Lytechinus pictus: one gene and its partner. The protein of the gene in region 2 interacts with the protein of the main gene of each other region in a biochemical or structural test. Links are inferred from orthologs where the notes say so. Each region holds a gene or a part of one and is shown on either strand. Other genes may lie near its edges. The genes, in order: COP9 signalosome complex subunit 5 and E3 ubiquitin-protein ligase RNF139-like.

What was found.
Region 1: the proteins of E3 ubiquitin-protein ligase RNF139-like (region 2) and COP9 signalosome complex subunit 5 form a complex in vitro, tested with the Drosophila melanogaster proteins (2 studies listed by BioGRID). The link is inferred for Lytechinus pictus from reciprocal best matches to the Drosophila melanogaster genes Trc8 and CSN5.

The regions. Positions count from the first base shown.
Region 1 is NC_087261.1:2,501,854-2,518,400, reverse strand, and holds the start of COP9 signalosome complex subunit 5, read right to left. Parts: upstream 8,033-16,547; 5' UTR 6,967-8,032; coding exon 6,833-6,966; intron 4,593-6,832; coding exon 4,484-4,592; intron 4,286-4,483; coding exon 4,160-4,285; intron 1,635-4,159; coding exon 1,506-1,634; intron 476-1,505; coding exon 410-475; intron 1-409. Other genes in the region: extracellular signal-regulated kinase 2-like, read right to left, coding at 14,668-14,847. UniProt on the Drosophila melanogaster protein: Probable protease subunit of the COP9 signalosome complex (CSN), a complex involved in various cellular and developmental processes.
Region 2 is NC_087256.1:3,846,909-3,862,604, forward strand, and holds E3 ubiquitin-protein ligase RNF139-like, read left to right. Parts: upstream 1-6,766; 5' UTR 6,767-6,968; coding exon 6,969-7,143; intron 7,144-10,100; coding exon 10,101-11,845; 3' UTR 11,846-13,959; downstream 13,960-15,696. UniProt on the Drosophila melanogaster protein: Plays a role in growth inhibition that is dependent upon COP9 signalosome subunits CSN5 and CSN6. May modulate signalosome levels or compartmentalization. Probably functions in the same or a related pathway to VHL during early midline development.

The DNA of each region.
Region 1 (16,547 bases), on a different chromosome or scaffold from region 2:
CATCCGATTTTGATGAAATTTTCAGCACTATGCTAGTTTTTTTTCTGAAAATCAAAACAAAAAGATCTGATTTTTCTCTATTTATTCAAGTCATAATTTTCCTGGGGTGGACTTGACCTTTAAAGTACGCAAATGTTGCCCAGGTATTTTTTTTTTACACCTTATACCCCATAGAATTACAATATACACCGAATGTTCCTGAGCTTTGTAATTGTATGAACGAGGCTGAATCCAACTTTAAAAGTTCAATTTCAGTGAAATAAAAGGAATAGTAAAAGTTTCAGTCTCAGATGAACTACTGCTCGGTTGATACTTGTATCATCACAACATCAGAAGTGATAAAAGAACCCAATCCCATCAGTGGCATTCTGGTGAGCCAGGGTGGCAGAGTTCAACCTAGAAACATTACCTTTGGATACGTTCTGAAAGCACCGATATTGACCTTTCCTGCAGATATTGTCCTGACCGGATCAACCTGTATGAAAAACAAGCCATACTTAAGCTGGTAACTAAATGTTATCTAAGATTTTTATGTATCAAACTGCATGTGACAACAAGAGTGTCGCTACAGCGAGCACATAATACGCCCGCCTGTAACACAGAAATTAGAGTTATTGATCAAGCAAGAAAAGTGGAAGGTGGCAACTTCCCCTTTGACCTTCTGACCTCAGAATCAATAGAATTCCTGGGATCCATACTAGTATCATACACACCAAATTATATTAGCCTAGGTTAAGTTAAACTAAAGTTATCGCGTTTACAAGGACTTCAGAAGGGTAAGATGAAAACATGTAACTGTGACCTTGACCTTCTGACCTCAAAATCAATAGGATTTCTGGGATCCACGTTAGTATCATACACATCAAATTATATGAGCGTTTACAAGGAAAAAATAACGGACGGACGGACACCAAGCGCAATACCATAATACGTCCCACGGGCGTATAAAATAATATGTACTTGGATAGAATATCATACCATTTAAATCAAATGCATGAGGCTAACTGAAATTCCCAGAAGTCATAAACCAGAGCTGTGTTTTGCAATGGCCAATCAAGCTCACTATTTCATACACATTATGTTCAAACTACAGACCAGGAACCAATCAGAATCGTGCTTTCAATCACTATTTGCAATCCATTGCAAACCTCTGTGTTACGGGGCTCAGGGATTTAAACTTTCATGGTCCAGTGGATAAATCTCTGGACATTGAATCACAAGGTACCAGGTTCAAATCCCTGCTGCAACACAAATGTCCTTTCGTAGGACATAAAGCTACATTTGCTACACTCGACTCAGGTGAGGTACATGGGTACCTGGCAGGAATTATAGTTCCTTGAAATGCTTGTCCACTGTAAAATCTTCCAGGCTAATAAAGCATCTAATATCCAAAGTCCTTTAGAAGCACATAGTGACGTTAATGGTTAAATGATAATATGATGTGCAATTTGCTTTATATTCATAATAATAATAATAATGCATTATAATTGAAGAAATACACCTACCACAATGGCCACAAAAGGTTCTTGAAACTGTTGATTTAACATCTGTGTTCCTACATCAATACCTGATAGCCAGCACCCATATCCAGGATGACTGTGATACCAACCTATAGCATTTTCTAAACGTCCAACCTGTAATCATAAGGACAATTAAAAACATAGTAGGGTTTGTAAATAACAATAAGAATTACCAACATCACTGAAAGGGTCTGGGTAGTCTGCTGCGCATATTTACTGACTTCAAGAAATTGGAAGGAGAGGGGCAAACAAGTTTTATAGGTAAAACTTTACGCCCACAACAAGGTATGATACAAGGTACAATACATATCCTTTACTTGACTTATGCTGCAGTCACATTTCCCCTACGATGTCCACAAGGTGAGTTGAAAACAGCCGTTTTACGGATTCCTTTATGAACCACATACAGAAAGCTGGTACAAAAATCATAAAAACAGCTGTTTTCAACTCACCGGACGGCTATCGTCAGCAAACTGTGACTGCGCCATCGAAGGATCTGAATGGGTAGCCTACAATGACTTGCATACTGAAGGCCCTTGCCAGTGCAGACCTGGGTCTGGGCACTTACATGTTTTGTGTTTTCAATATAAGTAGTAAATATACAGTGAAACCTGTGGATAAAGACCTTCAAAGAAGGAAGACAGGAATAGTGGTCTTTCTAAGCAGGTGGGTGTTTCATAAAGCTGATTGCTAGTTACGAATGACTTTAAGAACGACTGGTGACCTTTTCTTGTGCTTTAAGATATATCCCTAGTACTTAAATGATTTAGCACCTAAGAACATGTTCCAGTCGTTCGTAACATTGTGCGTAACTTAACAAACAGCTGCATGAGACACCCAATAGCTGAACTTAATGGACATAATACATGTTTGAATGGGTTGAATTATTAAATGGAATACAACTTTTGATCTTTTTAGTCCATTGGTCAGTACAGTAGGTTTGACTCTATTCATAATTTGAACCAAATAATAACTTACATGTTTGGCATTTTCAATATAAACAAATTTATGTCTCATTATTCAAGAGAAACCAAACTTGTAGTCTATATAAACAGGTGGTAGATAAAGCAGATTTAAATATAACCATAATTAAACCATAAAAAATTGTCATTTTCAATTTATAAGCAACTAAAATGTATAATCATGATAAGAACCTTTATGGCCCGAATTCACAAAGGTGGTTTTTGAAAACCCATGGTTGAGTCCGTGGTTTATGCAGATTTCCTGTATAAATTACGCTTAATTTAGCGCATATCAGGCGCGTGTATAAAACATGTCCAATGCTGATGCGCGCATTTGTCACAGTGCGCCAAATTGACGCCCGTTACCATGGTTAGATATGCTATTTTATTCATGAGTCCACTGTTTGAAGAGTGGACTCATGAATAAAATAGCGTATCTAACCATGGTAACAGGCGTCAATTTGGCGCACTGTGACAAATGCGCGCATCAGCATTGGACATGTTTTATACACGCGCCCGATACGCACTAAATTAAGCGTAATTTATACAGAAAATCTGCATAAACCATGGACTCAACCGTGGGTTTTCAAAACCACCTTTGTGAATTTGGGCCTATATGTTTGGTATTTTCAATAAGCAACTACATATTCATAATAAGGACCTTACATGTCTTGCATTTTCAGTACGCAGATATATATACAGTCGTGCTCAAAATTAGTTAGTGAACCCCACTAGAAAATAAACGTGTTCAAGTTCTGCCATGCTTTAGATGTCCAATAGTGAAGTCAGGTGATAAAACATTACATCCAATAAAACTGTTTTCGAACATTGTAGTGTTGGGCAATTCCAAGCAAAAGTGGACATTTTCCAAAAATTTGTATTGACTCTATTTCAAATCTGGATCAAATTTTTCTTTCAAAACTGAAATTTCATAAATACAAAAGGGGAAAATAATTAGCTACAATTTTTTTTCTTACGCATCTCCTTATAGGAGAATCCAAACCATACAAGAAATTCTTTATATGGGACTTCATATATTGGTTTTTACTTAATTTCAATTTAACAGAAAACAATTGCTTGTTTTGTAAAATTTTCTCTTAGATAATCTGAAGGTCATCATTTTACATCATATCAAACGAAAATTTTAAAATATAAGTTCATTTTACGCTGCTCGTGAGAGGATATTTCTGATGTCACTCCGTAACCGGGTATGGGTTTACGTTTTAAGTTGTAATTAATGAAATAATACACCAATTTTATAATGTAATGCAGCATATTACAGCCAGAACAACATAGAATCCAATCAATAAATCAAACTTATGATAGCAATTCAAAGTTCAGAGTATAAGCAATATGTTTTCTCCTCAAATATATGTCTATTTTGCGTCACTCCATAACCATGTTTATGAATATTCATCTCATTAATTCAGTGGATCAAAATAACAAATGTTATCATTTTGAAAAGTGGGTTTCAGCAACTACTGTCAGGTACCACTTCTTGGCAAATAGCTATTCAAATATTGGTGATATCTTTTTTTGAATGCAAAAAAGTTGTTTCTGAATGTCACTCTGTAACCATGGAACTGCCCTGTTGTCTACATTCAACACTCTGCATGATGGAGTGTGTTTTGGGGTAGGGTTCACTATTGAGCACAACTGTATTCACAAGGAACTTACATGTTTGGCATTCTCAATATAAGCAGCCATATATTCATATGCAGCAGCCTGAGCATTGACTCTCGTCTCTGTGCCTTCAACAGGAAGAGCGAAGCAATCCATTACTATCATCGTCTCACCATCAACCTGTAAATAGTGAAAAGGAAAGGGTTTATATTCATAACTTGGCCTATGACCAGTTGGTCTAAATGAAAAAGGGTGTAGATAAATCAGCAATTCATCAATGAAACAAGATGAGAAAACTTTGCGATGTACATGACAGCAGAAAAAGAAAGATAATAGAAAGTGTGCAAACGGAATTAAAAATATACATAGGTATTATACCTTTCCAAGGAGCAGTCCCATGACCTCTAGTGTTCCTCCTGATCTTGCATGCATTACCATCTTCAACAGTGCTAGGGCTGAGATCTTGATATACTTGAAATACTGGTTGCTGTCAATGAAGGTGCAGAGAGAATAGGAAGACTTGTAAGGAGATTTACATGTAACAGTTTAATAAAGCCAAATAATACATTTTCTTAGGAAGAAAAGAATACATATACAGGGGTGTATATATTTTTCCTCCTTAAGTGGAAATCCCTTTATAAAAGCAAGACCAAAGCAAAAAATTACAACAATTAATTGATTTCAGAGCTGAATTTTCTCCCCAAATACATTCTCTAATCAATTGATCCCCAAAATGTTAGATAAATTACATTGGGCATCAAGAACATCTGTGTGATGGATTTGTGCTTCTAGTCTCAGTCTAACATCAGCTTCATTGTTTTGTATGCAGCTTTAACATGGACTGAAGTTAGCAATTAAAATCCTAGGATGCAAATGTTTAGTGAAACCTTCTTCTTCCTCTCAGAATACAGACCACCTTCTGGTGTTTTATCGTACCATTACAGGTTTTGCCGGGAACTGACAGGTACGAATGTATTTTGATAGCTACATGTAGCTTCAGTCCATATATAAAAAGGCAGAGAAGACGAAGTGCAAATGAAACTTGAAGTAGAACCATAACATCAATATTGAAGCCAATGCGTGATGTGGTTTGAATTCTGTCGACAATGCACCGACAGAGATTCATCATAGCGACTGTGAAATCTGCGCAAATATTTGGCTAATTAGAGCTTGGAAAAAAGGGGTGAAAATTTCATAATTCTGCGGTTAATGAAATCTATTATTAGCGCCAACATTCCTCAAGGCAACAGCTGTGCACAGCTCAACCCTATTAAACAACCATTAGATCTTTTGCTAAATAAACAAAAGGTGTTAGTCTGATAAATTCCAAATAGATGTCTATAATTTCATGCTCAGATGATTTTAGGAATGCCAGTTAGAACCTTGCACCTTGAAGAAATAATCCCTTTTGCAGCTCATACTTGAAGCTAAACTGGGATGGGTGCATGTGCAGTCAATGGCCGACAGTGACGTTGGATGTTGGAGGTTATTTACAAAAAAAAAGGTGGAGGGTGCAAGTAAAAACATGGCGATTCGGTTTACAATATCAACCGAAGTCCAGCAGGTGGCTGCAAACTTTTTGAGTTTTGTTTGATTACAACATGACTTAATTCATTACTGGAAGAATGTTGTATGGTGGTGTGACCTTAATTCGCGCGTTACCTAATTTTGCGCACAGTCGAATATCTCTTTATCTAATTAATATCTTGAAAAACTTATATAACCAACAGAAAAGCCACCCAAAATTATCCAGTATGGTAATTTTGTTGAAGGCAAGGTCTCAATTTGTGAAAATATTGGCAAATCATTGGGGAATTTTGTTACCTTTTACGTCCGCTCCGAGAAAATCTGATCTTCTCGACAATCATCAAGAAATCGCCAGTTCGCAAGCAGAGGTCTCCAAATAAGTAAAATGTGATACCAACCGAATTTATGCCATTTTAACCTCCATCTGATATAATTATCTTACGTTTGTCTGTTTGATTTCTTTTCTAAAGCTTTGCAAAATGATCGTGCGCAAATTAAGGTCACACTTTTTAATGGCAAGTTTTCAGCCAAGCACGCACTAGTCGATCGCCATGGAATTTTTAGATCGCGATACGAGCGAAACCCTTGACCTACTTTATAATTTCATCAAGCGAATTTGACTTTGGGATTTTGCCTTCCATCTGGTATTTATGATTTTGATTAATTTTGTGTGAACTATGAGAATTTTTTGACTGAAAATCAACTTCATGATAATTTTTAAAATGTGCGCAAATTATGGTCACCCCATCATACATATCAACAGCTGAGCTTCCAGGAACATCTTCTTATCATTTACCCAAATCACAAATGAGAAGCAGACAATGTTGACGCATGATCAGCTCAGGTAAAACAAAACTTCATTTTCAAAATCATCAATCATGAATCATCATAAAAAAGACACAGACAGTGCAAAGACAGAAAGACAAAGGAAAAATAACTGTAGGGCCTATGCTATTCCTCAGTCATTCTTGTTTATTAATCTACTACTAGGTCTAGGGTTTTTTTTCCATGGCTATTCCCCCTGTCAATGCCAAAGTCAGAAGTTAGCCGTGCCATGGCCATGGCGTGCGAAGAAAAAGTGTTTTTGTAGAATTGTGAAGTGGCCGGCCAAGGCAAGCCAGTGGCAAGCCTATCCCCTCTTAAATTTACAACACAGATTGCAACGGTTGGGACTAGTCTGACTGTGGGAGGACAACTTACTCTTTCGACCATGGTTTTGCTTGCAGTATCTCGTGTTGTTGTTTCTTGTCGTACTTGTAAATCTCATCAACATTTTGAACAAGTTCAACGTTATTAGACATTTCCCATGTCTTTTGGGCTATCTCACGATCCATGTCACCTATTTTCTTCAGAATTTCGCAGAGAGAAAAGTCAAGGTCGTCACTGGAGTTAGCCCATAGAGATGTATACTAATTATATCTCTATGAGTTAGCCCCTATTTTTCTGAAATTAATAATAATAAAATAGGCAAAAGAGAAAAGAGAAGAGAAGCAAAGAGAAGAAAAGGAAAGAAAAAGAAAAAGAAAAGAAAAGGAAAGAAAGGAAAAGAATAAAAGGAATAAAAGGAAAGGAAAAAAGGAAAGGAAAGCTAGAAAGAAAAGGAAACAAAAAAGAACAGAAATAGATAAAACAAAAAAAAAAATGAAAAGAAGAGAGAAAAAAATTCATAGAAGATATAAAGAGAAATGAAAAAAAAAATAAGGGAATAGAAAAGAAACAAACTGAAGGAGAGAACAAAAAAAGAAACTATATATCATTTTTTACAGCTTTGATTGGCAAAATAGTCATGATATATGGTTGCCATTAAAACCATCAAGGAAAGAGAAAGAAGGGGGGAGAACTATAAAATCTGAATCTGTTTGATTTGGTTTCGTTTTTGAGGGGCTTTTTTGTGTGTGTTTTTTAATGCCAAATACATGCAGATCGATGACCAGTATCTAATGAAAGCATATTGGTGATCAAGCTCAGTGACAATTGTAGTTGCAAGCCTGTAATATATTTTTTCTTTCAAATTCTTTTCTTGTCCGCAAAATGAAATAACAAGTCACCATTTCTTTGTCAGGCATCGTTTTTTTTCTGCTACTTGAGAAAATTTGACAAATTGACCCCCCCCCCATGCATCCCACAATATTCATTACATTACAAGAAATTAATTTTAACTTTCAAAATTTCTGACAAATGCCTTAACCATCTGAGGGGTCAGCATGATGATGAAGATAAATAAGGGGTCAGTAAGTTTTTTAAATGCCCTTCTAGATCTGTCAAGTAAAAGAAAAAAATGATTAACTTGAAAAAATGGTTGACATTGTCATCCAAGAAATTTTGACAAGCAGAAAGAAAGAAAGCAGTTCTAATTTGACCAGCTCTGCCTTTTTTATGTGGACCCCCGCCCCCCCCCCCCCCAAGAAAAAAAAATGTTAGGTATTAAATATGAAGAAGGGATTGTCCAAGTACATTCTTCAATATAACATATACACTATTCATACATAATCATTATAGTTGCATTTTTTTTAATGATATTAATCACAGTTCCGCTACCCAAGTCAGTAAAATTTGGAACTGAGGAGACACATAATGTATAACAAGGAGATACAACTGAGGGATGCTACCTGTGTCATTACCATAAGTTACTTACTATACATATGTTGTTACATAAAAAAACATACAGACAAAAACGACTCAAAATCCACTGAACTTTTATGATTACACAAGCACACCATGCTATCACATCGAGGCGGGTTTCAAATGGTGATACAGAAGTGATTACAGGGGTGGGTCTAGCGTTTTACAGAGGGGGTTTGACCGAGAAATTTGACAAGCAAAAAAAAAAAGACTTCAGTACAAAATGAAGGTCAATTTGGTACCAAGAAGTTTGACAAGCAAAAAAAAAGGAAAAAGAAAACAACTATGAAATTAGGTAATTTGGGGGGGTTGGCTCAAAAATCTTACTTGTTTTTTACTTGGCAGCTCAATCTGAAGACCATATAGGCCAACTTTTCTGCCTTGCGGTCTGTATTCATCTATTTATTGGGGAAAGGGGGGGGGGTGCTGTGTTGATCAAACCAAAGTTTTTTCCTCATAATATTTGCTCTTTTAACATAATGCTCTTAAATGAGGAACAGGGTCCTGTAAAGACTTGTTATAATAGCAAATACACAATATCTATACCAAATAGACTATCAACCAATCAGATTGAAAGATTTCAGTGACTTTTAACTGTTATTGCAAATTTGCTATTATAAAAAAGTTTTACGAAACAGGCCCATCAATTAAGTAAAATTTCTAATTTGCTATCGAATACAAGACAGCTTATGCATAATTGCACACCAGAAACAACACATCACATAATATTTTTTCTCATTTTTAAGAAAACAGTATCACTGTCTCTTTAATTAATATTCTTTAATTTCATTGTCACAAAAGAAATTGCTTTATCAAGTACTTTTAATCAAGTTCATTTATACATGTACGCATACTGAACATTAAATTATACTCACAACCGACTGATCTATACAACTTTTTAAGACACTTCTATTATAAACATTTGGAATCACACACACACATTCTAATTGTAAGCCATTCATTAGGAATTCTCACAATAATCAAGGTTTCAGTAAAGTCACTTTTCAGTACTTAGCACAAAATATATCTTGAATAATCACAGCTAAATTCATTCACTTTTTTAGTAGTACCCTCAACCGTGGCACTTCATACACCAGAAGGCTGTTTCATAAAGCTGATTGTAATTTAAGAATGACTTTATAAATGACATACACAAAGTTGTGCATGACTTACAAACATCTTTGTGAAACTCCATCCCCGACTCCTGAGTGGCTATTGACAAACTTCTGGATAACGATATCCGTAATACTACCCCCCCCCCCCTCCAATGATATTCACCTTCTTGTCATTTATAAAATACATGTACAGCCTCATGATATCACACGAAAAAATTTATTTTGAAAAAAATAGGTTGCAGGATATCTTTATCTAAAGTTGATTCAGAGCCTCCTAGGGCTGATCGCACAAAAGAGCTTTGCAAGGACCGTCTTTCGTGGTGCTGATTTAATTACATTACTAGAAAGCGCCTCATACAGCGCATGGGTAACACGAAAGACCGGTCCTTGCCAAGACCCTTGCGTGCCCCTTGTATCTAAAGTCACCACGGCTAACGGTAATAATTCAAAATAAATATTGATATGTCGATAAATATTTCCAATTGAAGAAGACATTGGTAGAAGAATTCTCAATATGATATATCACAAGCAAATAAATATACAATGAATACTTCAACAATTACACATTTCTTGGCAAAGACTTCCCTGGAATACAATATGCTCAATTACATAATTCTCTATATAACATCTGTGTAATATTCCATATAAAGTTGGAATTTTGTTACCAAAAATAATGTTAGACAATAGTGGCGTCTGAATGCTCTAAACCAACAAGTTTGGAAGGTTGAACCGTTGTCAACACACAATGGCTTGCCCTTCCAAACCTTTGCCTGACCTGGTGGGTGTTTCATAAGGCTGATCGTAAAGTTATGAACGACTTTACGCACGACTGGAACAAGTTCTTAGGTCATAACTCAATTACATACATGTATAGATATCACATAGCACAAGAAAGGATCACCAGTCGTGCGTAAAGTCATTTGTATCTTACGATCTGCTTTATGAAACACCCACCCGGCCCTTGTTTCATAAACAGTTTACAACTACACCTACGATAGCTTTTAGATTATTGTAAATACCATGGTAATCTTGATTGTGATTGGCTGCTGAGCCCTGTAACCATTGTTGTTCTAAAGGAATAGTTACCCTAGCTTAAATTCTTATGAAATGGCCCCAGAGTGCTCTGGCGCCACTGTGAAAGAGTGAGCAACTCCCTTCCCCAGACCCCCAGAGTGAATAGGAAATGCCTCATGTATGATCAGAAGATCAGACACTAGACTAGAGATTTCAATGTTTTCTGTAGTCTACCCCTGCTTGGTTATCTCAAAATGAACTAACCCTTTGCCTACAAACTAAAATATAAATATTCTGTCCAAGATTTGGGGAATGCTGAATGATAACTTTGGTTTATGGCTTGATACAACTGGAATGTCAATTTCAAAGAGGACGAACAAAACTTAACTCAAGGTACCTTAAATAAAAGCCCGAGCCACTGTGTGTACAGGTATTGTGGTCCAGTGGATAAGTCTCCACAACTGAATCACAAGGTTTCAGGTTCAACTCCCTGCTGCAGCACTAATGTCTCTCAGCAATACATTCATCAATAATTGCATCATTTATTCATTATGTACCTGGCAAAAATGAATTCCTTAAAATGCTTGTGTACTCTATAGTCTATAAACAGCTTCCAACACTAAGTCAAAGGTATAACAAAAGTCCTTTGGAAGCCCATAGAGACATTAGATGATGCGGCTTACATCAGAAAATGTTACATTCAGCAAATTTTCCACTTCTAATCCCCAAATTCTGCATAGCCAAGGCAATGGGGAATAGGGATAACTGCCCAGTATTCGAACATGTGGTAAATCAAAGGATGCATCTATTGTTAAAATACTGTTCAAAATATTTTGACTTCACATGTTATTCTACTATGTCCAAATCTGAAACACAAGTTGCATACAATGAAGCTTTGTGGCGATTTCCTGGTTTAAATTTATCTTTATTCCCTATAACTTTGCAACATACTTGTCATTTTAAGATGGTAATTTCTGCATAATCAAAGACTTCATCTTGCTCATTCTATGCTTGGCAGATACGTACCAAATAATTGCCTATGTGGAAGCTAGATTGTGAAAAGTATGTGATGTATTTACCTTTTCACATCAAATTTCTTCTACATCAAACACAAATTTCGGTGGTCCAAAGAGTTTTGACTTAGGCAGACTTCCCTGTTCGAAAACCTTAATAGTAATAATTATTCAAATTCATATCATATAGACAAAAAAACGATACGTGTTTTGCACACAGAATCAATCTTTGTTAACATTCAAATGAATTTAACGATGGGGAGATATTTTGACAAGGTCTATATAACTACTCCATAATACAGACAAATGAGAACCAACATGCACATACTGATCTGTATACGGTAACACTGCTTTTTGACAGACATCCATTTAGACACTCTTTCTTAAATTTCAAACTAGTAATTTTTTTTTTTTTTTGCTATTGTTTTTTTTGGGGGATGGTTCTTCAGTATCTTATTTGTTCTGAAGCGCGTTGTGCATCTCATTACGACAGAAAGTGATTTATATAAATCTAATACATAATATTATTAACCTGTTGACATTGTATACTAAGAAAAATGAAGATTAAAGAGAAATAATGAAGAAACACAGAATTATTCACACAAATGTACTTTCTTTGTAGAATGAAGATAAATGTAATCTAGTTGTCTTACTGCAATTATCTAGATTCAAGTATATATGTCCTTGCACTGCAGGCACAAGCATAAAAAGCATGCCTGATCAGTACTTTGGGCCAAAAATTCCCAGCAGGTAGTCACAAATTTGAACACTACTGAAACGTTTGCGGATGTCACTCTATGCCTTGGTGAATATTGGAGATAAACCAAGGACTTCATGGTTTAGGTTATGAGCTTGCACATATCAAGATGTAGAGTTAAGCTAAAGTCACACCAACGAAACCAACTACAAACCAATCAATGATATGCCATTGGTAATAGCATAATTGATTGGTGTGGTCTGGGGCCCACGAAGGCCTCCGCACACCTTACGACTGTTTGAGATCCGATTTTGGATCAGATAGCATTTTGCTCATTTTCTGAAAATGTGAATGGAAAATATCATTTTATTTGAGGTTAAAAGTAATTGAAAGAATACCAATATAACCATTATGAAAGATTGCAAGCCTTTATTTTGGAGTAAAGGCCAAATTAGTTTCAAATCTTAGCCAATCGTACAACTGCTATGACGTCATTACGACTAGATATTAAATTCGCTTTCATTCTAAGAAGGATGATAGCATTGTCACAGATAGGTATTCGTGCGATGATTTAGAACATTACACAGTAAGATATTCCATGTTTCAATAATAGTATCAAATTCTACTATGTTTTATTCCAAAATCGGGTCGCAGACCAATCGTAAGGTGTGCAGTTGCCTTAACACAAAGCTTAGCAATGATCGTAGAACATTTTATCTACGATTAAATCTATTGACTACAATGTACAATCAGTCGTGAAAATTTAGTGTACGATTAATCGCTAGCTTTTGTGTTACGGGACCCTGGAGTCTGTTTTCTTGGTGTGATGGTAGCATTAGGGTATTGTTTCATGAAAGTTGTCAGTACTGACTATTATGAGCTACATCATGTATGTGTATGACCCAGGCAAAAAATAATATTTCATTTTTGGGACTACTTCTCATAAGCTACTGCCTATATCTGCAACATTGGATGAGCTTTAACATTGTAGCGAATGGGGATTTGGGGGGGGGGGGGGGGTTCTTTTTTAAATTTCCATGGCTCTTGTCTTGTCTGGCATATATGCAAGCTTGCTGTACTCCGCCAACTTTGTTACAAAATTTGAGGTCACTGAGCAAGCAGGTTACTCTTTTGAGAATTTGGAGGCCAAAATCGCCCCGATCCCCTGTCCAGTGAAATCGTTGGTGGTAGCAGGCTTATTCTGACAGGAAGCATTGAATGTTGCAATTAAGGTGATTGCCAAAGGATGACGACTTGTGGAATGCTGACAACTATCATGAAACACTACCCTTCCAATGGTTTTGACAACAGTGAAGATTGCTGCATGGCACATACTACAAGTAATTAATCCACACGCAATGACAGTGTCAATGAATGCTAACTTGGTCAGTGGTGACACGCTTCATGAAATGGTGCCGAGATGTTGACATAACTTCCTATTGCTTTGTCAAACCCTGCGATAGTATGCTGTAGAAATGGTTGTGATCCCCGACAACCATGTAGCTTGACCATACTGCATGCTGACAGCAAACTCCAAGACCCTGTCTTACTGAGAGCTGCGATTTCAAATCAATCTCAAATTGGGATTGATCTTAATCTCTTCCATACACATATTCAGATATATTGTGTGGAGCGTTGTGGCCCAGTGGATTAGTCTTCAGACTTTGAAACTAGAGGGTCGTGTGTTCAAATCCCAGCCATGGCGTAATTTCCTTCGGCAAGAAATTTATCCACACTGTGCTGCACTCGACCCAGGTGAGGTACAAGGGTACCTGGCAGGAATTTATTCCTTGAAATGCCACCGCAATAATAATATCCAATTAAGTGCATAGGGATGCATTTGGCAGTGATATATACAGCATGTTGGTATTATTATTATTATATTGCAATAATAATAATAATAAACAGTTCTTGTATAGCGCATATCACAATTATGAATAATGTCTCTATGCGCTTCCAAAGGACTTGGATATTATTACCCCAGCTGTAGCTTGGCAATGTGAGATTGATTTGAGTCAATTACAACTCTTTGTAAAACAGGACCCTGGATAGCTTGTAGGCTACTGAGGACTTATGTCCATTGAGTGGCCAGACCACAAGTGCCCAGAAACAGGAAAAGGGCACTATCCTGTATGTAAAGAACATTTTCCCTGTGCCAACGCTAATCTGCTAGCTAATGTATCACAACACTGGACAGGATTCAGACAAGAGAGGATTCCAGTCTGTAGTCTTGACTCTCTGAATGATTCACATGCGTTGTCCGAAAGGTTGCGGATAAAGTGCAAGATTACCGCCCCTGCAGCATAGTACAATTGTGGGCTTCCCTTGTACTTTTGAATAATCTCTTGTGCACAGAAACAGTTCGCAGGCTAGCAGTAGAAGACTACCATCCCTGCGGCTTAGTAAAATTGTGGGTTTCCCTTGTAGTTCAGATAATCTTTTGTGCAGGAAAACAGTTCGCAGGTGAGGAGCAGAAGGCTACCATCCCCACTGCTTAGTAAAATTGTGGGCTTTTTTGGCATGCTGGTTAAACCACTAGTGTCGAGAAACCGTGTGCAGGGTCTGTGAAGAAGACTACCTTCCCTGTAGCTTAGCCAAACTGCTAGCTGATATCGTACCATGGGCCTGGCTGTAGCTGCCAAACGTTGTCCGAGGTGCGCCCGAAGAGCCAATGTTCTTGGATCCGAACTGCTTACGCCCTCCGGCGTGGGACGTCCTGCTTTCTTGGGCTGAAATGGGTCTCTGTGCAGGGACCTGAAAAGAGATACAGAAAAATAGATGACCATCATAACATCAGGGGATATTCTAAAAAGTAGGCTAAAATAAATTTGAGCTGGACGTTTGGCCGGAATTTTGTGAAGGATTCCTTTTATCATTATGAACATTTCAACGACCATCATTTCTCCCATATGTTGTAAGACTGTAGAGGGGACAGACTGAGCCAAGCAAAGAAAATCTGGACATTGCCACTTTAAAACTATCTCTAAATATAATTTGTTTAATTGAGTGGAACAAGAAATTCTACTTTATCTTGGAAACATTTGATTAATATAGTAAGAAAATAACCCCCAACAGCATGCAAAAACACTTCACATCACTCCTAATGATTCAGAAGTACCATTGCAAATTGAAATATCTTGTCTCCCTTAATTGTAACAAAGAAAAATTCTATTCACATGTAGTCAAGTACAGTACAGATCGTTTATTCTTGTTAAAGCCTTCTGTGTAGTAAATGGCATAATTTTCTGTGTAGATTTCAGATATTCTTGAATGCGTAGATCCTCAGTGAGGTACATGTATAAAAATGTACAAGTGTATATATCTCAAGGCTTGAACAGTGGCACATCTCACTTTTAGTTTAAGAATGACCAATCCCTTTTGTCTGCAGAACAGAGAGAGAGAGAGAGAGAGCCCATTATATGATTCGCACTACTAATTCCAAAAGTAAGTCTAATTGCAAAATATCCTGAACAAGTACTGGAGGCCAGCAGTGTAAATCACTTTAAAAACATGAAATTTATATTTTCATCATTATTTGGCTTATGATAGCCTATTCAGGTTACCGGTAAATAGGGAAAAATTGCGTGCATGAAAGGGGTTATTTCATGAAAATGGTGATAGAGTGTACACACATACATGTATCTGTGCACCCACAAACACACACACATTTGTATTTGCCATCCGCAGTGGGTATTACAATCGTAAACGAGGACATGGGTGTTTGAATCTTCAAGTTGCTAATCAGAGACACCTCCCCCCCCCCCCCCAGTGTGTGAGATGTCTCTTGCAAACTGTGGACTTCTACATGTACATTTATATATTTGTTTTAATTATTAGAGGAGGGGTGACCTCAGAATTTGTTGTGTCAGATTATTATCGTAAGTGTTGAGGAAGAAGATGCAAACACACACACCCACCCCCTCACACACGTCACAAGTTAATCTCCATAATCTGATATGAATCTGCACTGCAAGGATCAAGAGACCTAAATCATGACACAATACTAAAGATAAGCAAGGCTTTACAAATGGCTTGGGCAATAGAAAGCTATTTGGAGCTCAGATTTCCTGAGATCACAAAGTGATGAACAGTGCCATCTATCAGTAAGAAACATTAAAGAGCATGGGCTCCCATAAGGTCTCAAAGTTGTTACAATTTGGATTGTTACCATGTTGGATTGATAATTACAACTTTCCAAGACAAAAAGCAACCAAACTTGAGAAAATTCATTTATCCATATTCTCAATGATCTCAATTACATCACTGGTTCTCTAATTTGCATAGCATCCATGTTGTGCATATAAACCATTTTGTGAAATACATGCAAAATATAAAATGCCTTAATTTTACATAAAATGTTGATGAATTTTCAGCACTATGCTTGCTTGATTTTTCATTATATTTTTTAAAATAAATTCTAGGTCAGGGTGACCTTGCTTCACTTCAGCCCATCC
Region 2 (15,696 bases):
AACTAGGACCATACGTATTTCATTAACCAAGTGATGCGAGCGCGAAGCGCGAGCTGAAAATTTTTGATATTCAGATCAGAAGAAGGGACATTTTAAGGACCGATTTGGGGAATTCATGAAGAGCAGACATATCTCACCAATCACGGACAGGAAATGTTTCATATATACGAAGACCTTAACATGGGGCAATCACTTTTTGAGACATGAAAAAGAAGCATATATGTCACTACATAAAACAATGATAACTCAAGTGCTAGGAAATATATTTGGTTTGTATTGACTTGAAAACGGGATGTTTTAGTACAACAGGATTATATATCTCGTTAAACAGACAGTGCGAGCACCAATGAAGACGTAGGCCCTGGGCAAATCATAAAGTTATGATAAAAATGCTTCTTATGTAATGTAACATAACATAATTATGATATAATATATTATAATGAATAATATTTTCTTCTTTCACTATGTTTTTCTTCCTTTCTCCCTCTTTTCCAGTCCCCCTTTCCCCGTTTTTTTTTTTTTTGGTCAGCCGATGGGGGGATGTGCCCCCCATGCCCCCCGTAGTTACGCCACTGTATGTCCATATGGCAAAAACCCCTCCAATATTATTATCTTTTTTTACCCCATGATGGTTTAATGGTTTTATTAGAGATTACATTCATATTTTTTTGACATTCCATCTTAATCCCTTCCCAAAGACCCTGGTTTGTCTTCAATGTTATAATAAGGACATAAGTATTTTGTTTGGAAATGGTGAACTGGCTCTTTATTTGCATTTTATGATTTAATAATATTGTTTTATTTGTTAAGCGGTATTTTAGGAAGAATTTTCACCAATAAAACAATTATCTCTTGTGATTTTTTTTCATTTCTTTCGTAGAAAGTGGGGGGGGGGATGTTTGTACAGGCCATCCCCCCTCCTCGAAAAGTGGGGGGGATACCCCCCCCCCACCCCCCCCCCCCCCGGGATTTACGCCAGTGCTCCAAAGCATAGCATTTTCTTCTTATCGAGAAAAAAGAAGAAAGAAATCCGCTCCAAAGCTTCGCATATTTTTCGTTACGCCGTTCCGGTCGCATTGATCAGCTACAATGAGCTGCAATTTTGGTGAAAAGCGGCCGCAGAGCGCTGTCCGACCATCGCCTCTGCGCGAGCGCACCCGGCGACCGGGCTGCCGGGCTAGCTGCATCATGCACGCATGCCCGTTCCATAGGGATGCATACGCACTCACACGCTGGCGATCCGTTCCAAGGACCCCCATTTTCACAAACATTTGTAGTTCCATAGCCCGTTCCGAGGACCCTCCTTTTTACAATAAGCCCGCTCCAAGGCCCCCGTTTTTTGTCTCGCGCCCGCGGCACACCCCTACCACTTTTTTGGTCGAGTGCCCCCCCCCCCCCGGGGCTGAGGCAGCCTATCATCACTGGGATATACAAATTAATAATTCTTCTACTATTACTTTCCTAAGAAGTTGCAATTCAGGCCCTGTTGCATAAAGGTTACTTTGCTATGAACTGGTAAGTTCGATTGAATCCTTGTCTGCTGGGTATTTTTACCATGGTAACTATCATATAGCCATCATAGCATGGAACGTATATTTTCAATGCGACGAGACTCTGGTTGGAGAAACAAGCATACTTTAAATTGGATTTCATGATTAGTGTACAACATTGTATTCAAGATCGCACCCCTCATTGGGTACTTCGCGTCTATGAAATGAAAAATAAGGTGCAAATTATATTATCAAAATACACTGAAATGGAAATTCGTATTTCCAGTATAGTGTCAAAAAGAGCATGAGTTTCACACATTTCGCGCACGTTAGCCACTACCATGAGCGCCCGGGCATGAGCACTCTCATTGGTTAAAAGGATGGTCCGGGCTGAAAATATTTATATTTATAAATAAATAGTGTAAAATTCACAGAGCAAAATGCGGAAAATTTCATTAAAAATCGGATAACAAATAACGAAGTTATTGAATCTTAAAATTTATCAACATTTTGAAAACAGTTATATGCACATGGTTATGAATATTCATTAGGTGGGCTGATGATGTCACATTCCTCTTTCCTTTTTCTAATTTCATGAAATCATATTAATGTTTCTTTTTTTCAAACATGTGTAAATACATGATGTGTCTCCATTATGATGAAATAAAGATGCGGCAATGAATAACTAATGCACTATAGCTTAATCAGTTATCAATTCAGTTGTTTTAGTTCTTGGTAGATAAATTTTGAATAAACCCAATTTCATATAATATAATATAATACAAAAGAACAAGTGGGGATTATGACATCATCATCATCACCTAATGAATATTCATAAAGACATGCCTAGAACTGTTTCACCGGAATAATGCAAATCTTTAAAATTCAATAACTTTGTTATTTGTTATCCAATTTTGATCAAATTTCCAGCATTTTGCTCTGTGAATTTTACTCCATTTATTGAGATATAAATATTTCCAGCCTGGACCATCCCTTTAAGTATTTGGGCGAAATTAAGTTCGAACAAAATATCTGATTGGATACTATTTTAGTGGTGGTGTTGATGGGCGAAGTTGTAACGCTATTCATAACACTTCTCAGATTATATAGGAGTGTTCTCATGGTGTTATAACTCACGACCTGAAAAGTGCACATACGAAAGTTACAACATTATCATATGTATTATTTGCAGATGACACCAACATTTTTTGTTCACATAATAGCTTAGAAACTTTTTAGTAGATATAATTAACCGTGAATTGCCAAAACTATCTTTGTGGTTTAAGTGTAATAAGCTTTCACTCAATATATACAGTGCGTATAAAAAAAAAAGTTTACACTTAGAAAAAATCCTGTAAAATTATTGTAATATCCTGAAGATTTTTCCACATTTTAACATTGGTACAGATCCATTTAAGCAAATGACGATATAACTGTCGAAAAATATTTCCGCTTGAGTGAGCACCACTTACTTTTGAAAAGTTAGTGAAAAATGATTTGCGCAGAACTTTGAAATAGCTATGCGAATAAAAGTAGACCTTAATCATGAGGAACACGCTAGTAAAATTGATTTAAAGATATCTTTTACTTTTTTAAACTTGTTTCCTTGCCCAACACACTTTGAAGAGTGCATTGCGCCCATGCAACCCCACTCCCCAACACACCGATGCCCTCGTGACGATTTTTGCTTTACACTGAGCTGTGATTTACATGAAATGGCTTAGGCTTGATTTTCACTTTGTTAATCATTGACAAGCTTGGAAAAAAGTGTGGAGAAACAAGTATTAAATGAAAAATGAAATGTAAACCCACTTTAAATGATAAAAACTTAGGGAAAAATGTTGAAGATGTCTCATATAAACTTTTGTTCAGATTCAGTTATGTCCTCAGATCCAGCTGGCACAAAAAGGGTAAAGGTTGTGCTTCCTAAGTGTTGAAATTTCAATTTGGGTGGCAAAATTGTTACAAAATGCTTGATTGTATCCGTTTTATTTCAATTGACTAAAAGTACAAGGGAGATGTATGAGAAATGTTTCGCAGGGTAAGTTTGATTTCGCCCTTTCCCCTTGACACTGCGTAAAAACGAGCATTTCTGCGCAAACAGATTTCTGCGAGCTTTACACAAATAGACAGTGCTCACTCAAGTGTAACATTCTGTCAAAACTTTTACTTTCATTGGATAGATGAGACCCAAACCCAAGATTATATGTGAAAAAATTACCCACATGTTGTTTATTTTTTAATTCCAAGGGCTTTTTCAAAGTGTAAACTTTTTTTTGATACGCACTGTAGATAAAACAAACTTTATATATTTCAAGTATACACACTCACATGGTAACGAATTTCCTTCCAATATAAACATAGATAATATTCCTCTCAAAAGGAAAAGAGAAACAAAGTTTTTAGGTGTCACAATAGATGAAAATTTAAATTGGAATGAACATGTATACGTTGTATAACTACTAGTATTTCTAGAAACGTAGGTATACTTTACAAAATGAAAAACATAATTCCACATACAACTCTTATCATACTATACAATTCATTAATATTACCTTATATATCGTATTGCAACATAGTTTGGGCAACATGTGCAAAAACTAAAATTAATACAATATACTTATTACAGAAAAAAGCAATTCGAATCTGTACTGATTCCTAATATTTATCACACACAAATCCATTATTCCATAAACTAAAGACTCTAACATGCAGTATTTGATATAAATTCACTTCAAAGTTTACTACTTATGTTTAAGTACGTAAATAACATGCTCCCACCTTCATTCCACAATTTTTATACTCTGAATACATCTATTCATTCATACCCTACCCGTAACTCTTCAAATTTCCATTTAATTAACCCCACATTGCTTATTGCGCAGAGATCCATAAGACACCATGGTCCAGATTTGTGGAACTCTCTACCAGAGTCTGTAAAACAATCTTCGTTTCTTCACTCATTTAAGGCAAACGTTAAATCTATGTTATTATCAGGATATTTGAAGTAAAATTTCTGTGTCGTTGTATCCTTTTTTATCGTGAATTCATTCCTCCTTCGATTTAGTCATTACCAATATCTCCATCATGACCACCATCATCTCCATGGCCTTCACCATCACCATCATCATATCACCGTCACCCTCACCTTTATCATCTTAATCTTCATACTAAAAATATTGCATGAATTGATGTTTCGTATTTAAAAATATATGCCCATTCTGCTTTATAAATGTATTAATTAATTTAATTAGTTTTAGTTTGGGATTGTCATTTTTCTTCAAGCAATCTGCTTATGATGACAATCCTTCTCCTGCAAATTGTGAATATCATATAATAATTTGGTAGTTAATCATTTTTGTCTGGAATTATTTTTTTTTAGTACACTTTATTTATGATTCATGCCAAAAATGCTAACATATTATGTTTATTATGTTATGGAAAATGTATTATACGAATGTTCCATGGATGCAGAAGAAAACAATAAATCAAATCACATCAAACATCATAGCACCACCGGTTGTCGGGACCAAGGATCACACCTATTCAGGTGTTGACTGTGCTAGTTCAACATCCACAGGTTTTATTTTAACTTCATTATGTTCGAAGGGTTTGGTCCTCCTATTTTCATTAGCTGGAGCACCATTGGGCCTATGGTATATTTATTCCAAAAAAATCATTTTATATAAAAGAGGCCAAATATTTAATAAATAGCAGTAAGCATAAATGCATCATTACCATTAATGTTATGACCATCATTGTTGTTATTGCTATTATTGTTATTATTTTGTTCATAAAATTTTATATTATTGTCATTATCATTCATTATTATTACCGTATTATCATAATTATTGCTATTAAGCCTTATCCATCGCGTCTAACAAAAAGAAATCTGATGCTATAGCGTTGTGTGTTATCGTGCCTCACCTCTGTATTCAGTGCAGGTGTGAATGCAGTTGGAAAACACTCCGTCCATCGGAAAGGACGCAATTGTTGGTCCCGTGTATATGAGAGTCACAACCTATGAACGTTAAAACCAATACACTATTCGTCAAAGAGTAGGGTGTTTATCCGGTGTATTGCACCTGCCGGTCCCGGCAAAATTCAGGTCAAGTCAATCTTGACGTTCATATGCCATAATAATCAATAGGCCCCTATAATCATGATAATGATGATTGTGGGCATTAACGGGAAAGACAATGTATCACTAACAAATTTTTTCTCCTTTTTATCATTTTATCTTCTTCATCTATAATGTAAAATAAATACAAGGTGTAATGAATTGTGTGCATAGTTTACCAATATTTTCTTATCATTGTACTTTCTAGGACTGATACAAGGCCGGTTTACACAAAGCTTCTTGTATTGATATTTATTTATGTACATGATTACGATGACCATTACTGGATGAAAATTTACAAAATATTATCATTGAAACCTATTCCTATTGGGTGTTACAAGAAACTTGCGATCAATAAATTGCAATCATATTTTGGGTCCCGAATGCAATCATAAATCTTGTAATTAATTGCAAATTAGTACTTGATTGCTGATTTGCTTCTAGCAACAACGAGTATAAATTTATTTCATACAGCTAGCTAGTGTTCTATCAATAATTGTAACATCACAATTTGCAATTGATTGCAAATACCTTCTTGCTACACCCCCTTAGAAGATTTTAATTCAGATTGTGAATTATTCATTTGCAAAACTTAGTATTTTTTTTCATGTGTTTATCTGAATATATATTTTTATCGTAATACTTCATTTTAACGAAACTCATACTGTAAATGAGCACCCCCCTCAACACACACAATTAAAAAGGAAGAAGAGGTGTAAAAGAATGGAATGATGAAGAGGAGGGAAAGGAAACCGAGGAAAGTAAGTAAAGGAAAATGAAGAGAGTAAGAGAGAGAGAGAGACCGCGGTAAAATGGTCTCATATTCCATCCTCATTAAAAGACCGCAGGAGGTGGTATAAAAAAAGGAGGAGCAATTGCAAGTTGCAATGGGTAGAAATCCTACTTTAGCCAGGTGCATTACCATGTCATTGGAGTCATTGCATAAATTATCTTTGGTTGCATTGAGTTAGTAATTGCCTAGTGACATCCCGGGAGTTACATGAAGAAGAAAGGGACACATGGAGAAGAAAAAAAAATCACGATTACTGCATGCCATCTGTCTTGGGGAAAACCTGAGGGGAATCCCCTCAATTTCCGTGCGCGAGCTAGTGACGTACTTGCACGTACGTGTACGTACGTGTGCGCGCCTGCGCCCACATATATGTAAATTAGGTCGACAAGCCGGTCGCCGGTGAAAAGCCAAGATAAAAGGGACAAGATTCCACCCAAATTTAAAGCTTTATCATCATGCCTGGGCTAGATAAGTTTACTTAAAGTTTTTGGATGGATCTCTCTTGAAATTGAAAGTTTATCTGTGCGACATTTCACTTCATTTTGTTGGAAAACAGTGTTCTAATATGTCCCAGAATGCTATGGATGTGGAACTGGAAGAAAGATATGGACCCCTGATTCGGGTACCACTGTTGCTGGTCATGGACGCCCTGAGCTCCGGGCGGTTAACTCTCTTCAGATACATTGTTGACGATGATGGGTACTCGGACTCTGTACTTTCTACTGTTGTCCATTTAGCCGGTAAGTCTAACTACCTAGATATAAGTCTAGGTCTAGATCTTGAGTCTAAAGTGATAAACCCTCCCTTCTCAGCTCCGAACCCCCTCCCTTCTTCAGAAGTACTTTTGCCTTTTGGGGCCTGTAGGCTGTACTGAATTGAAATTGAATTTGAAAGGGTCTTTCGTAGAACCGTTCTTCTAGAACGCGAACGAGATATCGCTCAACTGTTTCACAAAGCCGATTTGGGCGATACGAAGAATAGTCCTTGGAAAGACACCTCCAGACGTGTCCTACGTAGGCATGATCTTCTTTGCACACCGCCCGCCACCATTGGCATTGAGAGAAAATGCGTTTACGGCAAGCCACACTGACAATTATCACTTTTAAACATTTTTGGGGGTCATTTGATTGCACTCTGTCTCTGATGCATTTTATCTGGGATGGCGCCAAGTTATTTTTATATGGAGGCTGTCATCAATTTCATGGCAAAACAGATGTCACTTTCACCGTTCCGGGGTATCTAGGCCCATATAATTTTTTTGTAAATATGTATATTATGTTTTCTTTTTAAAAAAATATTAGATTTTAGATAAAAAAAGGTTGAATCACACATCGGATCCAGATTTTTCGCGTATGATATACAGTAAGTAGAAAGCTGCGAGAATGTGTGCGATATCATTTAATATGCTTTACCATTTACGGTATGTGGTTTACTTCGGAAGCTTGTATTGCTGGTTGCGTTCTAGGCGCTCAGCATTCATTTACTCTTATCCTGTCTTATTGTTTTTTTTGCTGTCAAAAGATGGCGTACGTCACCTATAAGATTTTACATGAGATGCAACCCGTTGATTTTTTTGTACAATTTCCTATTGTGCGCCGACGACTTGAATCGAGACTGTTAGATCGGAAAAAAATTCACATTTCGATTGTTGTTTGCATGAGTTCCACCGCAGTACGAAAGGATTTTCAGTGGTTCTTGGCTGAGATTTGGAGGTACAGTAAAGGTTAAAAAAAAATCATTTTTAAAACAATTGTAATATATTTTCATCATTAAGTTATCAAATATCTTTAAAAGTAACACAGTTAGTAATTATAGAAAGTTTTTTGGTGTTTTATTCCCCCACATTCGTGGGATGGAGGAAAATGTCAAAATCCATTCTCTAGCTTACTAGGCCTAACCTCGCAATACGTGTGAGTTGGTTACATCTGCCTTCTTCATTCAGGGTTGAAGATTCTTGCAGACCGTTTATTTGGCATGTGTGTATGGCCAGGTTTAGGTGTGTGGTGCAAATATACATGTATACAGGTGTGAGTAAAAAGTCCAATCTGGTTTCTTTAGCTCTGGCCTTCTGCCAGTCTCGGGCGGAAGGCTTTTGGAGAAGAGGCATTGATTTTGTTGGGAGGGAGAGCATTCCATACCTTGATCGTCCTCGGAAAGAAGGATTGACGATTCAAGTCATTTCATTTCATTTTACATTTTATTTCATTTATTCCACCTTCATGTGTAAAAATAATAAAAATGTAAATCAAGCATTGGCATATGGTGTGGGCCCCGTAAAAAGTTAAGAGCTTATCACCAGGGGCCCAAGCTTAACACGATGGTGCTCAGTCCTGCAGTGTGGTAGCTAGTAGCCATTCCCTTGTTGCTGTGGTCAAGTTCTTGTTGTTCCAGTTAGTGGGGTGATGTATTCTTCCACTGGGAAGCTGACAAGATTGTGGTGCAGCTGGTACAGTACCAGTCACCATTCTTTGAATCACTATTACCTGTTTCAACCAGAGAACAATAGATTTGGTCCACTGATTCTATTGTTCTCTGGCCAAAACAGGTAATAGTGAGTCAAAGAATTGTGACTGGTACTGTACATAAGCACCAGTCTAGAATCTTCCCTTCGTTTCTTTGTTTCCCTTCTTGAACGAAGTTCTTCACTCCGTGAATTTGACAACATTGAACACTTCAAATCGTCTCTCAAATTCTCACATATTTCAGTAGATGTGTAATTGGATGAGCTTTCGCCTATGAATGTTTTTAAGAGAAATTTGATGCGATATAAATGCTGGGCCTGTGGATCATAAACCATGGCATTCATGGAAAATGAAAAAAATACTGTCTTGCCATGCCATTGTAAATTTCTGCTTTCACCTCTTCTGTCACATCATATCTGCCATGTCAATCTGTTTGAGCTAAGGATTTATTTAGCAATGTCAGACATTATTCATCATCTATCGACTATCCCAAGCCCAGTCAGTATATTACAGCAGTACAGAAAGTGAATGCAGCCAAGGCCAATTTAGTGAGCAGAATTAGTATACATGTAACATTCAAGTTTCATGACTCCCACACGAGACTGAAACTAATCAAGGCCCAATATTTATTTTTTTTAACCGGGTTTGCATGCTTATTTATTTTAAGGAACAGGTTAAAGAAATGTGAATATTTATTGACCAGATATGTTCCAATGTTGGCTCAAGTATTCACTGTACTATAGCTTCTTGCCTTGGTTAATAATACATGTAAGCAGTGACTTTACACACCAACTCCTCCTTGACTTTGTACCTGATGAAGTTGGTTATGACTATGCCAATGGAAGTACATTGGAATTTAGTAATGACAATGCTGCATATGATATGGAATGATATATGATTATCATCAACTGTCACAATAAGTTAAGTGATATGATCTTCAAAAGTGAATTGTCAAACAATATTTAACTATTGCATAGATGGTAGACCTAAGTTATTGCTTCTATCATATTAGCATAGTGCAGATTTTATGGAATTCGGAAATTGTTTTTAGTTCATTATTTTTTTAATCCAAACTGGAATGGTCTACATTTTATTTCCTACTGCAATCTAATGTACGGTACTAACATTAAAGGAAAATATTTCTTTGTTTAAAGTATATACATGTAGAATAAAGGGTTCCTTTGGTAAATACTGGTATTCTAATTCTATCTTTATTTTCATTTATATCTTCATAGCTTTGCTGATTTGTGGGATGATGTTCTTTCTAACAGCATCAACCCTGAAGATTTGTTATGCATTGATGGTTTTTATGGCAGCACTGAAGACATCTCAGTGGTGGAATGGTATCTTCCTCCAGAAACTTGGGATGGAGAACATCACCATGCTACACTCCAACCAGACTGTCATCTCATCCTTTGGAGATGAGTGGAAGGTGAACACGTTAGACATCATGTCCAGTGATGAATTCCTCTTCTATCTCTGCATCCAGCTCATGTACAGCTTTGTCGTCACCAAGACACCAATGCTTCATTCTTTAAGGAACACAGAATCTAATGCTCCTGTACTCTCAGTGTGGTTCTGCCTTGTCTCTCCTGTGTTCCTCTACCTGTTCTTGAATACCTTTCCAGTACTTACACCAGATTCTGCAACCCTTCTTGTCCAAACCTTCTACGGACTCTACCCGATCTTACCTATCCTGCTACTTGACATAGTGTGGAGTTTTTTTTACTTTGTGCATTACTATTTCAAAAATATTCGTGTCATTGCAAGGACATTTACAAGGATTTATATGCAATTTGGAATTCAGGTGTTAGTGGAAAACCAGTGGATTAGGTTACAAGTGCCAACAGTACTAAGACTATTTTGGCTAACAAGATTTGCGCTTCATGTAGGCAGATTAGTTCTCCAGTATCACTATGGTCCCATGAGTGCTAGCCCATCTGAGGATGTACCCAACAATAGAACAATATTATCTGCAGCCTTGTCAGAAATTGCTAGTGAAAGCTGCAGTACTAGGATTGCAGTGTTAGGGCTCAGTGCAACATTGTCACCTATAGCAACTGGAATTGGACATTTGACTCGGTTATTTCTAGGTGGGGACCGTGATGGAGGAGAGAACATTGGTACTCTTGCATCAGTTTTGTTCTTCATCCTCGCTCTACAAACTGGTTTGCCTGACCTATCACCCGAGAACAGACTCATAAGGCTCGGAAGGAACATGGGCTTGTTGAGTACTGCTATCCTTCACTTCATACACACTATGCTCAATGGGACAATGATGCAGCTATCAACATCACACATCGTCCATCGTGGGAAGCATGCCAGAGCTCTAACTATGGTGGCATTGCTTACTGTACTTCCAATCTGGTTTATTGTCTACCTATGGACATCCAACCCCATTGGAACATGGATGCTCGCACTAACCGCTTTCTGCTTGGAGCTTATTGTGAAGGTCATTGTGACGCTCATTGTCTACATCCTTTTCTCCATCGACACTCAGGGCGACACCTTCTGGGAACAACTGGATGATTATGTCTACTATGTCAAAGCAACGGGTAGCACTATCGAGTTCATCTCCGGCATTTTTCTCTTTGTGAATGGAGCTTGGATATTTGTATTTGAATCTCGTGGAATCATAAGAGCCTTCATGATCTGCATCCATGCCTATTTCAATATCTTCCAGCTGGGAAAAGATGGATGGAAGAAATTTAAGAGCAGACGTCTGGCCGTGCAGAAGATAAAATCCATGGAGCAGGCTAGTGCAGATATGCTTGCTAGCCACAATGATGTTTGTGCGATATGCTATCAAGAACTCACTAGCGCATGTATTACTCCTTGTCACCACTTCTTCCATGCCACATGTCTTAGAAAATGGCTTTATGTTCAAGACTACTGCCCTCTATGTCATAAAGAAATCACAGAAGATTCAGATGATAAAAATCCAGCTGAAGAAGATGGAAATGTAGCTCGAGGTGATTAGTGTTACCTCTGGCATTTTATCTACATATTCAAAGGAATTTTTTTTAATGTCATTTTTGGGGTGGGTGTGATATTTTTTTTCCATTCATCAGATTTTGATTGAAATATTCTTTGTAAACATGTCCCTAGATAAAAGTGATCAAACCATTACTAAATAATGTTCATCCGTAGCTGATAGGAATCAAATTGATGGAGAATTAGTGTGATTTAGCCACAAAGAAAAGGACCACCCGTCTTGTGTAAATTGCAAGAAACTTTATGAAACTCCCAGCTTTTCACAAATGAAGTTGTCATATGTTAGTAACAAATTAGCTTGCATATAGCAGGGGTGTGAGAGTTCAGATTTTTATCTGATTTCAGATTTTTTTCGTTTTGATTTTCAGCTTATTTTTCGCTTTCCTCTGAACAAAAAGTATGGGAGCTCTTTCTATTTCAGACTTTTTCTACAAGTTTCAGCTTTTTTCAGATCTTTTTATTTGTGACCACTCACACCCCTGATATAGCCAAAACATTGCTGGCCATGCTAGCTAGCATAGAAGCATTTTGTACAGCTTTTTCCTTCGGGTCATTGCCAAGATTAAATGTCACAGAAACCATGCAATAGTGGCAGTGCAATGCTAGTAAACTAGTACATGTAGCTAATGAGTGGTTTAGAGTACGGTACGCCAATGAATTGGTAGATGTCTTTCTTTAGATTGACCGAACTACATATAAGTTTACATGGATACTTTGTTAATGTCATGAAATTTCCTAAATTCATGGAAAATCTTTAAAGTACCCTCCAATAGTCATGTATCATGATGATAGGTATTTTAAGCTGGTGATATGGACCCTAATCAAGTGATCTGTAAAATTTGAACATGTGACCAGTCATTCATTAATTTTGCTGTCAGAAAATTTTCCTAATGTATGGTATGGTACTACAAGCTCTATTGACCTGTCATGAGATGAAATCCACATCCTTCTTTATAAAACACATATTACACATTGTTTTGCTTCAAGGGCATTAGAATACATGTAATTACTGATGCACACGCTTGTTATTATCCTAACTTGTTAACAGTCCAAACAGAAGTGTGCCAAAGGTAATTCATACTAATTAAGTGGGGGCAACATGGTCTAGTGGTTATGACCTGTCTTTTAATCTGAGGGATGTGGGTTCGATTCGCAGCCATGGTGTGTTTTTGATAAGCGAGATATTTACCCACATTGTGCTGCACTCAACCCAGATTAGGTGACTGGATAATTATTAGAAAGAAATTCCTGTAATGCTTGAGCACCTTTATAGGCAGTGCAGCTAAAGCCAGGGTTATAATAGCAGCGCTTTGTATCCTTAGGCAAAAAGCTCCTTATAAATCCAGCTATTATTAGTAGTATTATTATGTGTATTATTTGTATACTATTCATTCACACCCACTCTGTAGATTATGTGCTTATTTGATATTTGTATTTGATATACGTACCACATAATTTGCATACAGATGATCAGTAGATTTGAAGTCAATTTCAATATTCATTGTGCAATTTGTAATAAATACAATACATGTTTATTGTACATAACTACTGTACAATTATACTTTCTATGATTTTTCAAAATAATTTGATTGAATTTTGGGGGCTGGCTAGGTTTATTGATGCAGCTATATTATATACTCAGACCGATATTTGATTTCCTTTGAATTTTATGGGGACTGGTTTGAATATGATAGTAAGAATTATAATCATGTACATGATGTGAAGTGGGCATGGTGGGGGGGGGGGGATCATGCTGCCCCTTGCTAAAGCCCAGGTAATTATTCTCATTTGTATATCATGTGAAAACTAAATGTATGGAGCATTATTGTTTAATGGTTCTGACTCTCGCCTTTGAAACAGAAGGTTGTGGGTTCAAATCCCAGCAATGGTGTAATTTCCTTCAAGAAATTGATCAACATTGTGCTGCACTTAACTCAATTGAAGCGAATGGGTACCTAGCATGATAAGAGCCCTGGGAAATAAATAAAAAATATTTTAGGTATCACATGTACGTTGTGAAAAGTAACCCCTGAAATAAAATATTTTTTGCCTGTCAAGATACAGTTTGGAAAATAATTATTAAACCACTTTCCTACTAAAGCTCCCACATGGTATGGTCCAATATTTTCTAAGCTGTAATTCCACTCCAGACTTTTAGACATTTTTCCTCTGAAGGAAAGAGATACAAATTTTGTGAATGGAACCTTGCTATGAATTGTGTATTCATGTTGTTTGAAGATTCCTCCCACTACACATTTATTCTTGTTTTCAAATAGATACATGTTATTCCTTTAAGAATTTATTTGAAGAATATTTTACTTCATAAAATACACAATAAAGATTTTATCAGCTTCATTCTATATTAATTTATGGTTTGAGCATTTTGATCGTTACAAATTATAAATTTTGCTTGAAAATAACATAATGCTTTTAACTTTTTGTTCAATTGCTAGTGAAAGAGTTGGTGCCTTGGATATTCAAATCCTTATTGAAAGATAAAATGTTATCAATCAAATGGCAATAGAAAGTTAAGCTACATGTACTCCAAGTATGCCCAGTTTCATAGCTTATCAGCCATGTATTTGATTTGGAAACATTGATGTTTTTAAACAACAAAAACAGGTATTATTGTGCTACTCACCGATCAGGATTCTTGGATGTCATGTGGACCGAAATGTTTTTACCCAAATTTTTACATAGAAATTCATGTTTATTTTCTAGTCCATTACAGATTACAAATTTGAATGTTTAAGAAAAATATCATTGGAAATATTTAGCACTCAAGTGAATTGAAATCTACAGCTCTAGACAATATATTTAGGAATTCCTTTGTTTCCTTCCTATTTGGGTATGGCTGTTGTGTATTAAGTCACAATTGCTAAATAGTGCAAAAACATGGGAAAAGATGTGCCAAAAAAGTCACATACTAATATTGGCCATAGATAGCCCATTGATACATACTAGAACTGTATAAACAATTGAAGCAGGAAATATTTTCTATATTTCTATGCAAATTGTTCTTGAAATTTTAATGTCGACATCTGAAAAGCAAGAAAAAAATTACCCCTTTCTACATGACAAGCATATTTGAATCACTGCTATGTTCACAAACGATGACATTACATAATTTGGCTAGTAGTGAACTCAATATAACCCATTTTCGTGTGTTGCAAATTTGTGTTTATAAAACAAAATAATTGGCTTAAAAGCAGTGATTATAATTATAAATGAAACCAAAATGTGTTTTTTTTTTAAATACATATTTTGCTTCTACACATCTTTCAAACCTCTAGTTGTTTTAGCTTTGAATATACATGTAGTCTTTAATTGCTTTGTTAGCTGGGATGATGACTTTAGATCCTATAATTTTGAACACAGGGCATTTGTTTGAGCCAAATTAATTCAAGAATGGCTGAAAGTGAAACATAAAATACAAAGGCTTGTGCATGGGTATCTCACAAATGAGCCACTCGTGTGAAGAGCGAACAAGATTTCTGTTTATTCTTGTGGGGAAGGGGGTGGGCTGCTGCTTTCAGAAATACCAGAGATCTCAAAATACTTCAATTATTAATCTTCCAAGGAAGCCATTTAAAGTTCAGGAGAAAACACCAGTTGGGTTAGTAATGATACTTTGTGGTCTAAAACATGGAAACAGGAGTGCCAAAGCTGTGCATTGTGAATTAATTATGACATTACAAAAATAATGGAAGGCAATTTTGGCAATTGAAATTCATATTATGACACAGAATGCTCTTGCCGTTGTGAAAGTATTAACCGTTTTTCCTGTAGATCAATTTTGTATTTTGTTAATTAGTTTTGACCCTAGTAGAACTATAT